Macaca mulatta: one gene and its partners. The protein of the gene in region 1 interacts with the protein of each later gene in a biochemical or structural test. Links are inferred from orthologs where the notes say so. Each region holds a gene or a part of one and is shown in the gene's direction. Other genes may lie near its edges.

The links.
Region 2: the proteins of MAPK3 (region 1) and PTPRR form a complex in vitro, tested with the Homo sapiens proteins (2 studies listed by BioGRID). The link is inferred for Macaca mulatta from reciprocal best matches to the Homo sapiens genes MAPK3 and PTPRR.
Region 3: the proteins of MAPK3 (region 1) and PTPN7 form a complex in vitro, tested with the Homo sapiens proteins (3 studies listed by BioGRID, with this or other methods). The link is inferred for Macaca mulatta from reciprocal best matches to the Homo sapiens genes MAPK3 and PTPN7.

Annotation. Positions count from the first base shown.
Region 1 is NC_133425.1:28,437,431-28,441,183, forward strand, and holds the start of MAPK3 (mitogen-activated protein kinase 3), read left to right. Parts: upstream 1-875; 5' UTR 876-944; coding exon 945-1,114; intron 1,115-2,138; coding exon 2,139-2,321; intron 2,322-3,753.
Region 2 is NC_133416.1:77,740,054-77,743,706, reverse strand, and holds the end of PTPRR (receptor-type tyrosine-protein phosphatase R), read left to right. Parts: intron 1-592; coding exon 593-706; intron 707-2,866; coding exon 2,867-2,963; 3' UTR 2,964-3,088; downstream 3,089-3,653. UniProt on the Homo sapiens protein: Sequesters mitogen-activated protein kinases (MAPKs) such as MAPK1, MAPK3 and MAPK14 in the cytoplasm in an inactive form.
Region 3 is NC_133406.1:59,817,485-59,820,083, reverse strand, and holds part of PTPN7 (tyrosine-protein phosphatase non-receptor type 7), read left to right. Parts: intron 1-992; coding exon 993-1,155; intron 1,156-2,599. UniProt on the Homo sapiens protein: Protein phosphatase that acts preferentially on tyrosine-phosphorylated MAPK1. Plays a role in the regulation of T and B-lymphocyte development and signal transduction.

The DNA of each region.
Region 1 (3,753 bases):
TGGGTACCAAGCAATTCTCCTGCCTCAGCCTCCTGAAGAGCTGGGATTACAGGCGCCCACCACCATGCCCAGCTAAGTTTTGTATTTTTAGTAGTGACAGGGCTTCACCATGTTGGTCAGGCTGGTCTCCAACTCTGTCCTCAAGTGATCCGCCCTCCTCAGCCTCCAGAAGTGCTGAGATTACAGGCGTGAGCCATAGTGCCCAGTCCCCCAATTTTTTTTTTTAATTAGCAGGGCGTGGTGGAGCGCACGCATAGTCCCAGCTCTTTGGGAGGCTGAGGTAGGAGGATCACTTGACCCCAAGGAGGTTGAGAATGCAGTCAGTAAATATTGCACCACTGCACTGCAGCCTGGACGACAGAGTGAGACCCTGTCTCTAAAATAAAATAAAAACAGTCTAGGATTCTGAGAGGCATGGAATTAAAAAGAGCCTCTGTCAGAAGACATCATTTTGAGTCTCAGCTCTGTCATTACTAGTGACCTTACTCAAGTTAGTTAGCCCAACTCTCAGATTCCCCATCTGTAAAATTTGATTCATTTATTAGAACAGTTTTTTTAACCTAGGGTGATCTCGGGCCCAGGTTCTGGTGGGCTGCCGCACACATTGGCTGGGTGGCTCTGGTAGGTCACGCCCTGGCCGCTTCGCCTTCGAGAGGAGGGTGAGGACAGTCTCCGAGGCGGCGCTGCCGAGCCTCCCCGTGACTTGGTGACCGCGGAGCCAGCAGAGACCCCCGGGCTCCCGCACCTAGGGCGAGAAGGGCGGGCGCGCGCCCGGGGTGGGTCACGTGACGGCTCCAGGCCCGCGCGGGGCCGGGGGCGCGCGGGGCCGGGGCAGGGGCGGGGCCTGGAGCGCGCGGCCCTGCGGGTGACAGGCGGGCGGGAAGGGGCGGGGCCTCGGGCGGGGCCGCCGGGGGGAGGAGGGCGGCGGGAGGGGAGGAGTGGAGATGGCGGCGGCGGCGGCTCAGGGGGGCGGGGGTGGGGAGCCCCGGAGAGCCGAGGGGGTCGGCCCGGGGGTCCCGGGGGAGGTGGAGATGGTGAAGGGGCAGCCGTTCGACGTGGGCCCGCGCTACACGCAGCTGCAGTACATCGGCGAGGGCGCGTACGGCATGGTCAGGTGAGGGGGCGTTCCGGGGGAGGGGGCGCCCTCAGGGGAGGGGGCTTCACAGGAGAGGAGGGGGAGGCGCCGAGCGCTTTCCGGGACGTGGAGACGCGGAGCGTCCCGAGGAGGCAGGGGACTCGGGATGATCGGGAGCGTCCCAGGGAGGGGACCCCTGAGTGCTTTCTAGGGGAGAGGGCGCTGCCTGCGTCCTCAGGGGAGGGGGCTTGGAGGCTTTGAGTCCACCCTTCTGTAATGATGGGAGGGGCATCTGAGTGCATGTGGGGGCCCGCGGGGACCCTAGTGACACGGGGCGAGGCCCAGAGGATGAGTACTCTCGGGGAGGCGACATCCTTAGTGAAGAGGCAGTGGAGGGCCCGTTTTGGGGGAAAGGGTGTTTTGGATTCCCCCTGTGAGGCAGTGCCAGGGAGCCTGGGGTAGACGAGCCGAGATCAGGGTGGGGCAGGGCTTTGGCCCCACCACCACCACCACCAGGTGCCCAAAGAGAGATGAGGGGGCCAGGAGTGCCACTTGCATGTTTTGGGAGGGGTCTGTGAGTGCCCCCGGCCCCACCGTGAGCTCTGGGACAGCCCTGCTGCCCGCTTCCCTCACCCTAGGACCCGCCCCTGCCCTGTCCATTCTCTCCTGCCCCTCCCCTGGCTGCCGTTTTCCCAGTATTTGCTCCATGGTGTGCCCCCAGCATCTGCACCCCCGGACCTGTCTTGGGTTAAGGAACCTTTCCTGGGAATGGGGGCGAAGGGTTCAGGGCCAGTAGAATGGAAGGGGATTGAGGAGAGGGGAAGTCAGTGAGCGGTCAGTCTCTTCCTCTGTTTGTAAAGTCACCGAAGGGCCGCCTGGCTGGTCCCCAGCTTTCTCTCTGGAGATCCCAGCCCTACACAGCAGGAAGGAACCAGCATTGTTTATGATTTGACCAGAGCCAGCTCCTGCTCTCTCCCCTCCCTGCCAAGGCCTGGGTGGGGCCACCAGGCCCGGACTCCCCCTTTGTAAGGCCACAGCAGCAGCCTCTCTCCGGTCCCCTCAGCTCGGCCTATGACCACGTGCGCAAGACTCGCGTGGCCATCAAGAAGATCAGCCCCTTCGAGCATCAGACCTACTGCCAGCGCACGCTCCGGGAGATCCAGATCCTGCTGCGCTTCCGCCATGAGAATGTCATCGGCATCCGAGACATTCTGCGTGCGTCCACCCTGGAAGCCATGAGGGATGTGTATCCTTCACCTTGCCCAGTCGGCTGGTCATACACAGCCTCGGAGCTGGGCTGGGGACCCGTTGCTTGCTTTCTGTTTCCATCTTACCCACCACCCTCCAAAACAAACCCAGTAAAATAAACTTTCCTGCAGAGGAGAAGCCACAGTGTAACAGGACTTAGAGGCCTCTGATGAACCCAGGCCTGCTGCAGCCGGGCAATATGGCCTTGAGCAAGTCAGTTCTCTGCTCTGTGCCCCAAGGGGGAGGGCTAGACAGGATGGTCTCTATGGGAGTGTTGTCTTCTGACATCGGCAGTTCTGAGACATGACCCAGCTTCTGCCCACAGTCACTTCTTGCTAACAAATGGATGGTTCTTTCCTCTCTTTCCTCCTTCCCCAGACTGGAAGGGAGACAGGGAGAAAGCAAACTGTCAGCTGGGCATGGTGGCTTATGCCTGTAATCCCAGCACTTTGGGAGGCTGAGGTGGGCAGATTACCTGAGGCCAGGAGTTGGAGACCAGCCTGGCCAACATGGTTAAACCCTATCTCTACTAAAAGTACAAAAAAATTAGCAGGGCGTGGTGGCGCATGCCTGTAATCCCAGCTACTTGGGAGGCAGAGGCAAGAGAATCGCTTGAACCCAGGAGGCGGAGGTTGCAGTGAGCCAAGATCGTGCCACTGCCCTCCAGCCTGGGTAACAGCGTGAGACTCTGTCTCAAAACAAAACAAAAACAAAAAAACTGCCTTTCTTGAGGTCCTACTGCGTGTCAGGTACTATACATGCCCAATGCTTTTTTTTTTTTTTTCTATTACACCTCCCAACTACCCTATGAGATAGGCTTTGCAGCTTCATTTCAAAGATGAGGGCAGAGTGCAATGGCTTACGTCTGTAGTTCCAACACTTTAGAGGCCAAGACCAGAGGATCAGTGGAGGCTGGGAGTTCAAGACCAGCCTGGGCAGCATAGTGAGACCCCATCTCTACAAAAAATTTAAAAATTATCCAGCTTTGGTGGTGCATGACTGTAGTCCCAGCTACTTGGGATGCTGAGGCAGGAGGATGGCTTGAGCACAGGAGTTCAAGGCTGCAATGAGCTATGATTGTGCTACTGCACTCCAGCCTGGGGGACAGAACGCGACCCTGTCTCAAAAAAAAAAAAAAAAAAATGAAGAAGCTGAGGCCCAGAAAACCTAAAATCAAGTGTTTCTGTTGCTGTCTCCTCCTCCCCTCCCCCAGATGGAAACTTGTCCTTCTTAGGACTTCTCACTCAGAGCCACACCCTAATCACCTGTGGACTTGCACCTTGCCCAGGGAGGGACAGCCTAGCCTTTGTTGTCCTCCCCTGATACTGCTTTCCTAGTTTGCTGTCCACTTCCTGTCTGGCTCTCCTTAGCAACTTGTGACACCTGTCACCTCTTCCCTACCCCACCCACCCACTCTCAGTCCCAGCCCT
Region 2 (3,653 bases), on another chromosome or scaffold:
CTATACAAATCTCTTGGAAATATGTGCCTCTAGCTGTACCCTCTCCTAAAATGAATCCAGTCTTCAATTGCTCAATTATTCACTAGACTTCTCAACATCAGTATGTCCAAGATCAAACTCCCCTTCCCTGCCTCCTTCAAATTCACCCTATTCTAGGATGCGCTTTGGCCTCAGGGCATCACCATTCTTTCTCTCCAAGCCTAGTCATCTTTGACTTTTTGCTTTTCTCCCTCTTCAGCTCCAGTCCTCCAGATTCACACTGGTGATGTGTCTAAATCTTCCCCCTCCTTTCTACTGCCTGTATCTTGCCTAAGTGCAGACATTAATTATTTTTTATTTTTTCTAGAACAATTATAATGCCTTTTTACTGTCCCCCCCACTCATCACTTCCCTCCACCCCTCTCATCCTACTACTTATAATTAAATGTAAAAATATATTTTAAGGACTTAGCACAGGGCCAGGTTTATAATACTCAATACATGAATACTACTTTTAACTCTGGCTTCAGATTTAAAAGTACCCTTGTAAAAGAATGTTTCTTATCTTTGTCATTTTCCTCCACTTTTTAATTTTCTTTTCTTTTCTTTTCAGTGCAGGAATAGGTAGAACGGGGTGTTTTATTGCTACATCCATTGGCTGTCGACAGTTGAAAGAAGAAGGAGTTGTGGATGCACTAAGCATTGTCTGTCAGCTTCGTATGGATAGGTGAGTGTCACAGAGGCTTGCCTTCAGAGCACTGTTGTCATTCACAGCCTGATCTCATCAGCCTGATTTCACACATAAACATCCCAGGCTCCAAGGTCCTGTATCTCTGTAGAGATACTTGTAAAATGCTTAAGTATATGCATTATATTAAAAAGCCTTTTTTTCTCTCTTTTTTGAGACAAGGTCTTGATCTGTCACCCAGGCCGGAGTGCAGTGGTGCAATCTCAGCTCCCTGCAGCCTCAAATTCCTGGGCTCAAGCAATCCTTGCACCTCAGCCCCCACATGTAGCTAGGTCTACAGGTGTGTGCCACGCCTGGCTAATTTTTTTAGTTTTTTGTGGAGATGGGGTCTTGTTATATTAGGTTGTTCTTGAACTCTTGACTGCAAGCGACTCTCCCACTTGGGCTTCCCAAAGTGCTGAGATTACAGGCGTGAGCCACCATGCCTGGCCTGAAGTTATTTATTTATTTATTATTTTTCTGAGACAGGGTCTCACTTTGTCACCCAAGCTGTAGTGCAGTGGTGTGATTATGGCTCACTACAGCCTAGAATTCCTGGGCTCATGTGGTCCTCCTACCTCATCCCCCTAAGTAGGTGGGACTATAGGCGAGCGCCACCACACATGGCTAATTTTTTTTATAGAGACAAGGTCTCACTGTGTTGCCCAGGTTGGTCTAGAATGGCTGGGCTCAAGGGATCCTCCTTCCCTGGCCTCCCAAAGTGCTGGGATTATAGTTGAGAGCCACTGCATCTGGCCCCCAAAGTTATTTTTTAATGTTTTTATTAAATTGTGACAAAATACACATGGCAAAATTTATCATCCTAACCATTTGTAAGTGGACAATTTATTAGGGTTAAGTACATTCACATTGTTGTACAACCAATCTCTGGAGTTCTTTTCATGCTGAAAAACTCAGTACCCATTTAAAAAACTCCCCATTCCTCCCTCAGCCCAACTGGTAACTGCCATTCTATTTTCTGTCTCTGTAAGTTTAAACGCTCTAGGCACCTTTTATGTAAGTGGAGTCATACAGTATTTCTCTGTTTGTGGCTGGCTTATTTCACTTAGCATAATATTCTCAAGGTTCATCTATGTTGTAGCATGTGTCAGAATTTCCTTCCTTTTTAAGGCTGAGTAATATTCCATTTTAGGTCACATATTTTGTTTATCCATTCATCCATTGATGAACGCTTGAGTTGCGTCCATATTTTGACTATTGTGAATATGGCTGCTATGAACATGGGTATGCAAATATCTGTTCAAGACCCCGTTTTCAGTTCTTTTGAGTATACACCCAAAAAGTGGGATTGGCGGCTCATATGGAATTCTATTTTTAGTTTTTTGAGGAAACCATCATAGTGTTTTCTGCAGTGGCTGCACCATTTTACATTCCCACCAACAACACACGAGGGTTCCAGTTTCTCCACATCTTCACTGACACTTTATTTTCTGCTTTGCTTTTTTGGATAGTAGCCATCCTTATGAGGGTGAGACGGAAGAGTCATTTTATAGAGATACGGTTTGATCACCTTTGTTATAACCTCTGTTCGTTTTGAAAACAAGATAAACAGGAAACTTCTCTTCTTCCTTGATCCACAACTAAGCCTGCCTGGGTAAATGGACGGTTGAGTTAGTGGTGGAGAAACTGAACAGATGCTGCTTCAGAGAAGGCACAAAACGATAAGCAGCAAGCATCTCTGCTCAGTAATTCAGTGTACTACAGTGGAACAAGAGTTGTTGGCTAGGTGTGGTGGCTCTCGCCTGTAATGCCAGCACTTTGGCAGGCCGAAGCAGGAGGATCCCTTGAGTTCAGGAGTTTGCGACCAGCCTGAGCAACAAAGTGAGACCCTGTCTCTAAAAACAAACAACAAACAGCAAATGTTTACTCATCACCTCATATGCCTTAGGCATTGGTCTAGATGCTGCGAATACAGCATTAAACAAGGATTTTCTGCTCTCTGAGAATTTATATGCTAGCAGAAAAAGATAATAAACAAGCAAAATGTACCAAGATAATTTCAGACAGAAATAAATGCTGTGAAGTAATAAAACAAAGAGGGACACAGGCATTGAGTCCTTTGAGCTTTAGCCCTATGACCTAGAGTTTTCTTAAAAAGATAAAATTATACACTAACCTTTCTTTTTTTCCTGGAGACAGCCTCGCTGTGTTGCCCAAGCTGCAGTGCAGTGGCGTGATCATGGCCCACTGTAGCCTCGACTTCCTGGGACTACAAGCATGTGCCACACTGGGCTGATTTTTGTATTTTTTGTAGAGACGGGGTTTTGCCATGTTGCCCAGGCCAGTCTTGAACTCCTGGACTCATACAATCCTCACATCTTGGCCTCCCAAAATGCTGGGATTGTAGGTATAAGCCACTATGCCAGGCCATATAATTACCTTTCAAGATTTCTTTTCCAACAAATATGCTTTGAGCACTATGTACTATGTCCTGGGATTTCAATAAAAAAGACAAGATTATTCTGAAAAATGAGATAATTTATATAAAGCACTTGGAATAGGGTCTGGCACATAGGAAGCCCTCAATAAATGTTTATTATGTTATTATCATCTTTATTATTATTTAAATTATCTGTGAAGTTTCTCTTATCTCTAAAAAAAAAAAAATTCAAATTTCCCTGTCTGGATTAATTTTTCCCTTCCCATCCATAATGTTCTTGCCTCCTTTTAAACAGTAGCCTCTAAGTCTTTGTATCTTCCCTCTTTGTTTTCTACTACGTTTGGTATCTTCCCTCTTTGTTTTCTACTACGTTTGTTTGTTTCTTTCTTATTTTCCCTTTCTGTTAGCATGTAAATTCTCGAAGCAGTTCATCATGGCGGTTAACATTCTGGGCTCTGGAAAAAGATTGCCTGCCTGAGTTTACATCCCGGCTTCTACCATTTTTTGGTTGTACGACCTTGAGCAAGTTACTGTTCTTCTCCCTGC
Region 3 (2,599 bases), on another chromosome or scaffold:
CCAAGTCTCCTAAGCCAGACTTTGACCAGAGAAGGTTTTCCAAGAGAAAGGCCATCTAAGCCAAGCTAAGACCTGAACGGTGAATTAGCCAAGCGAAGAGAGGGAAGGGAACACATTCCAGGCAGGTGGAACAGCATATGCTAACTAAGGCCCAGAGAAGAAATGTGAAAATGGATACACTGCTGGGAGCAGGGTTACAGGTTGGGCCCAGAGGTTATGTGTGGGGTAATGATGAGAGATGGGTTTGGAAGGCCAGTGAAGGTCAGATGATGAGGGGCCTTGTAGGACTGGCTAAGACACTTGGTTGTAAAATAACACTTTGGCTATAGAGTGAAAAATGGATTGGGCTGGAGTGAGAGGGTATCGTAGGGGATAAGACTAAAGAAAGAGATCATTTGGGAGTGCATATCCTAAATAAAACAGAGCACAGAGGCAAAAAGCATGACACAGGGCCTTCCCAGCCCACCCACAGGTAGCAGTGGGACATGTGCAGGGAGGTCATTAGAGGCTCACGCAAGAGGAACAGGAGGCCTGGGGAGTTTTGAAATAAACAGAGGGCACGATGGAGCAAGCAGAGCAGAGCGGAGAGAAGACTGTGGGAGGGCGCCAAGGTGGGAAACAGAGGGGCCGGGCATGGGCTGCGTGGAAGATGAGTCTGAGCTGAGAGGAAGTCAAGGTTAGATAAGGAGGGCTCAAGGGTCAGCACGCCCACAAGTGGGGAACTGTCTGTTGGAAACTGCTGTAGATGCTCAGCAGAGTGGAGATCATCAAAACGTCCACAGGGACCAGAAGGTGGCCTGCAACAGGCTTACAGTGAGGCTGGTAAGAAATGTAAACTCCTCCCGTGCCAGTTATAACCTGCCTCCAGCAGGGTCCCCAAGGGGACTGGAATCCGAAGTACTCTACCTGCCCCCATCTCCAGAGTCCTATCCCCAAAATACAGCACCTGCAGGTCCCATTTCTTTCTCCATGGTTTGGGGCCTGGCTCTTAGATTCCCTTGTCTCCCATGACCTCCCTGTCCCCTCCCTGGCTATCTTCAGTGCAGGGATTGGCCGGACAGGCTGCTTCATCGCCACGCGAATTGGCTGTCAACAGCTGAAGGCCCGAGGGGAAGTGGACATTCTGGGCATTGTGTGCCAACTGCGGCTAGACAGGTGGGTCTGTGGGTGTAAACAAGGCCAACAACGTTAATGGGGGGCATCAGTGCCTCTGGGCCCCAGAGCCCTGATAGGCCCATCACCATCAAGCACTCCTGCAAGAAAGGAAGAAACCCTTTCTGCTTAGAGCTGTTTATTTTGCAACTAACAACCAGCAAAAAATATCTATCTGGATGGCCGGGCGCGGTGGCTCACACCTGTAATCCCAGCACATTGGCAGGCTGAGGTGGGTGGATCACCTGAGGTCACGAGTTCGAGACCAGCCTCGCCAACATGGTGAAACCCTGTCTCTACTAAAAATACAAAAATTAGCTGGACCTGGTGCGGGCCCTTGTAATCCCAGCTACTCAGGAGGCTAAGGCAGGACAGTTGCTTGAACCCAGGAGGTGGAAGTTGCAGTGAGCCAAGATTGTGCCATTGCACTCCAGCCTGGGTGACACAGCAAGACTCTGTCTCAAAAAAAAAAAAAAAAAAAAAAAAAAGAATATCTATCTGGAAAGTTGGCTTGGAGCCCTGGAATTAAACATGATATGAGGCAACAAGTAGTGCAAAGAAGCTCACTGGGTTGAGGCAGAGCCAGTGTTCAGATTCCAACTTTTGTCTCACTGAGATGTCACTAGATTTCTCTGAGCTCCCATTTCTTTTTTTTTCCTTTCTTTCTTCTTTTTGTAATAATAGAGATGGGGTCTCACTATGTTGCCCAGACTAGTCTCGATCTCCTGGGCTCAACAATGCCCCCTTGGCTTCACAAAGTACTGGGATTACAGGCTTAAGTCACTGTGCCCAGCCCCCACTTCTTTATCTAGAGAGAGATAATGGCTCCTTCCCCCAGAAAACTGTTGTAAGAAATGAGTTAACTTATATGAAAGTGTTTTGGAAATGGAAACTATTATACAAATGTATGGAATCATTATTTTTACTTTTAAGATTATTAGAAAGAAGGAAACTTGAGGCTCAGGAGTATTCCTGGCCCGACTCAAGGCTTCAGAGGTCTGGTTTTGTCCCAGGAGCTGAGTGAATCAAGGAAGACCAAGCGTCAACACGGGGCATCACCCCTCAGCACGTGTAAGGGGCAGAGGACTCCTCTCACAGTAAATCTGAGGGTCAGCAAGGAGGAGTAGCAAGTAGAAAAGATGAATATAGGTGGCGGGGCATGGTGGCTCATATCTGTAATCCTAGCACTTTGGAAGGCCAAGATGGGCCAATCACTTGAGGTCGGGAGTTCAAGACCACCCTGGGCAACATGGTGAAACCCTGTTTCTACTAAAAATACAAAAATTAGCTGGGCATGGTGGCAGGCACCTACAGTCCTAGCTACTCAGGAGATTGAGGCAGGAGAACCACTTGAACCCAGGAGGCAGAGGCTGCAGTGAGCCAAGATCATACCACAACTCTCCAGCCTGGGTATCAGAGTGAGACTGTCTCATAAAAAAAAAGAAAA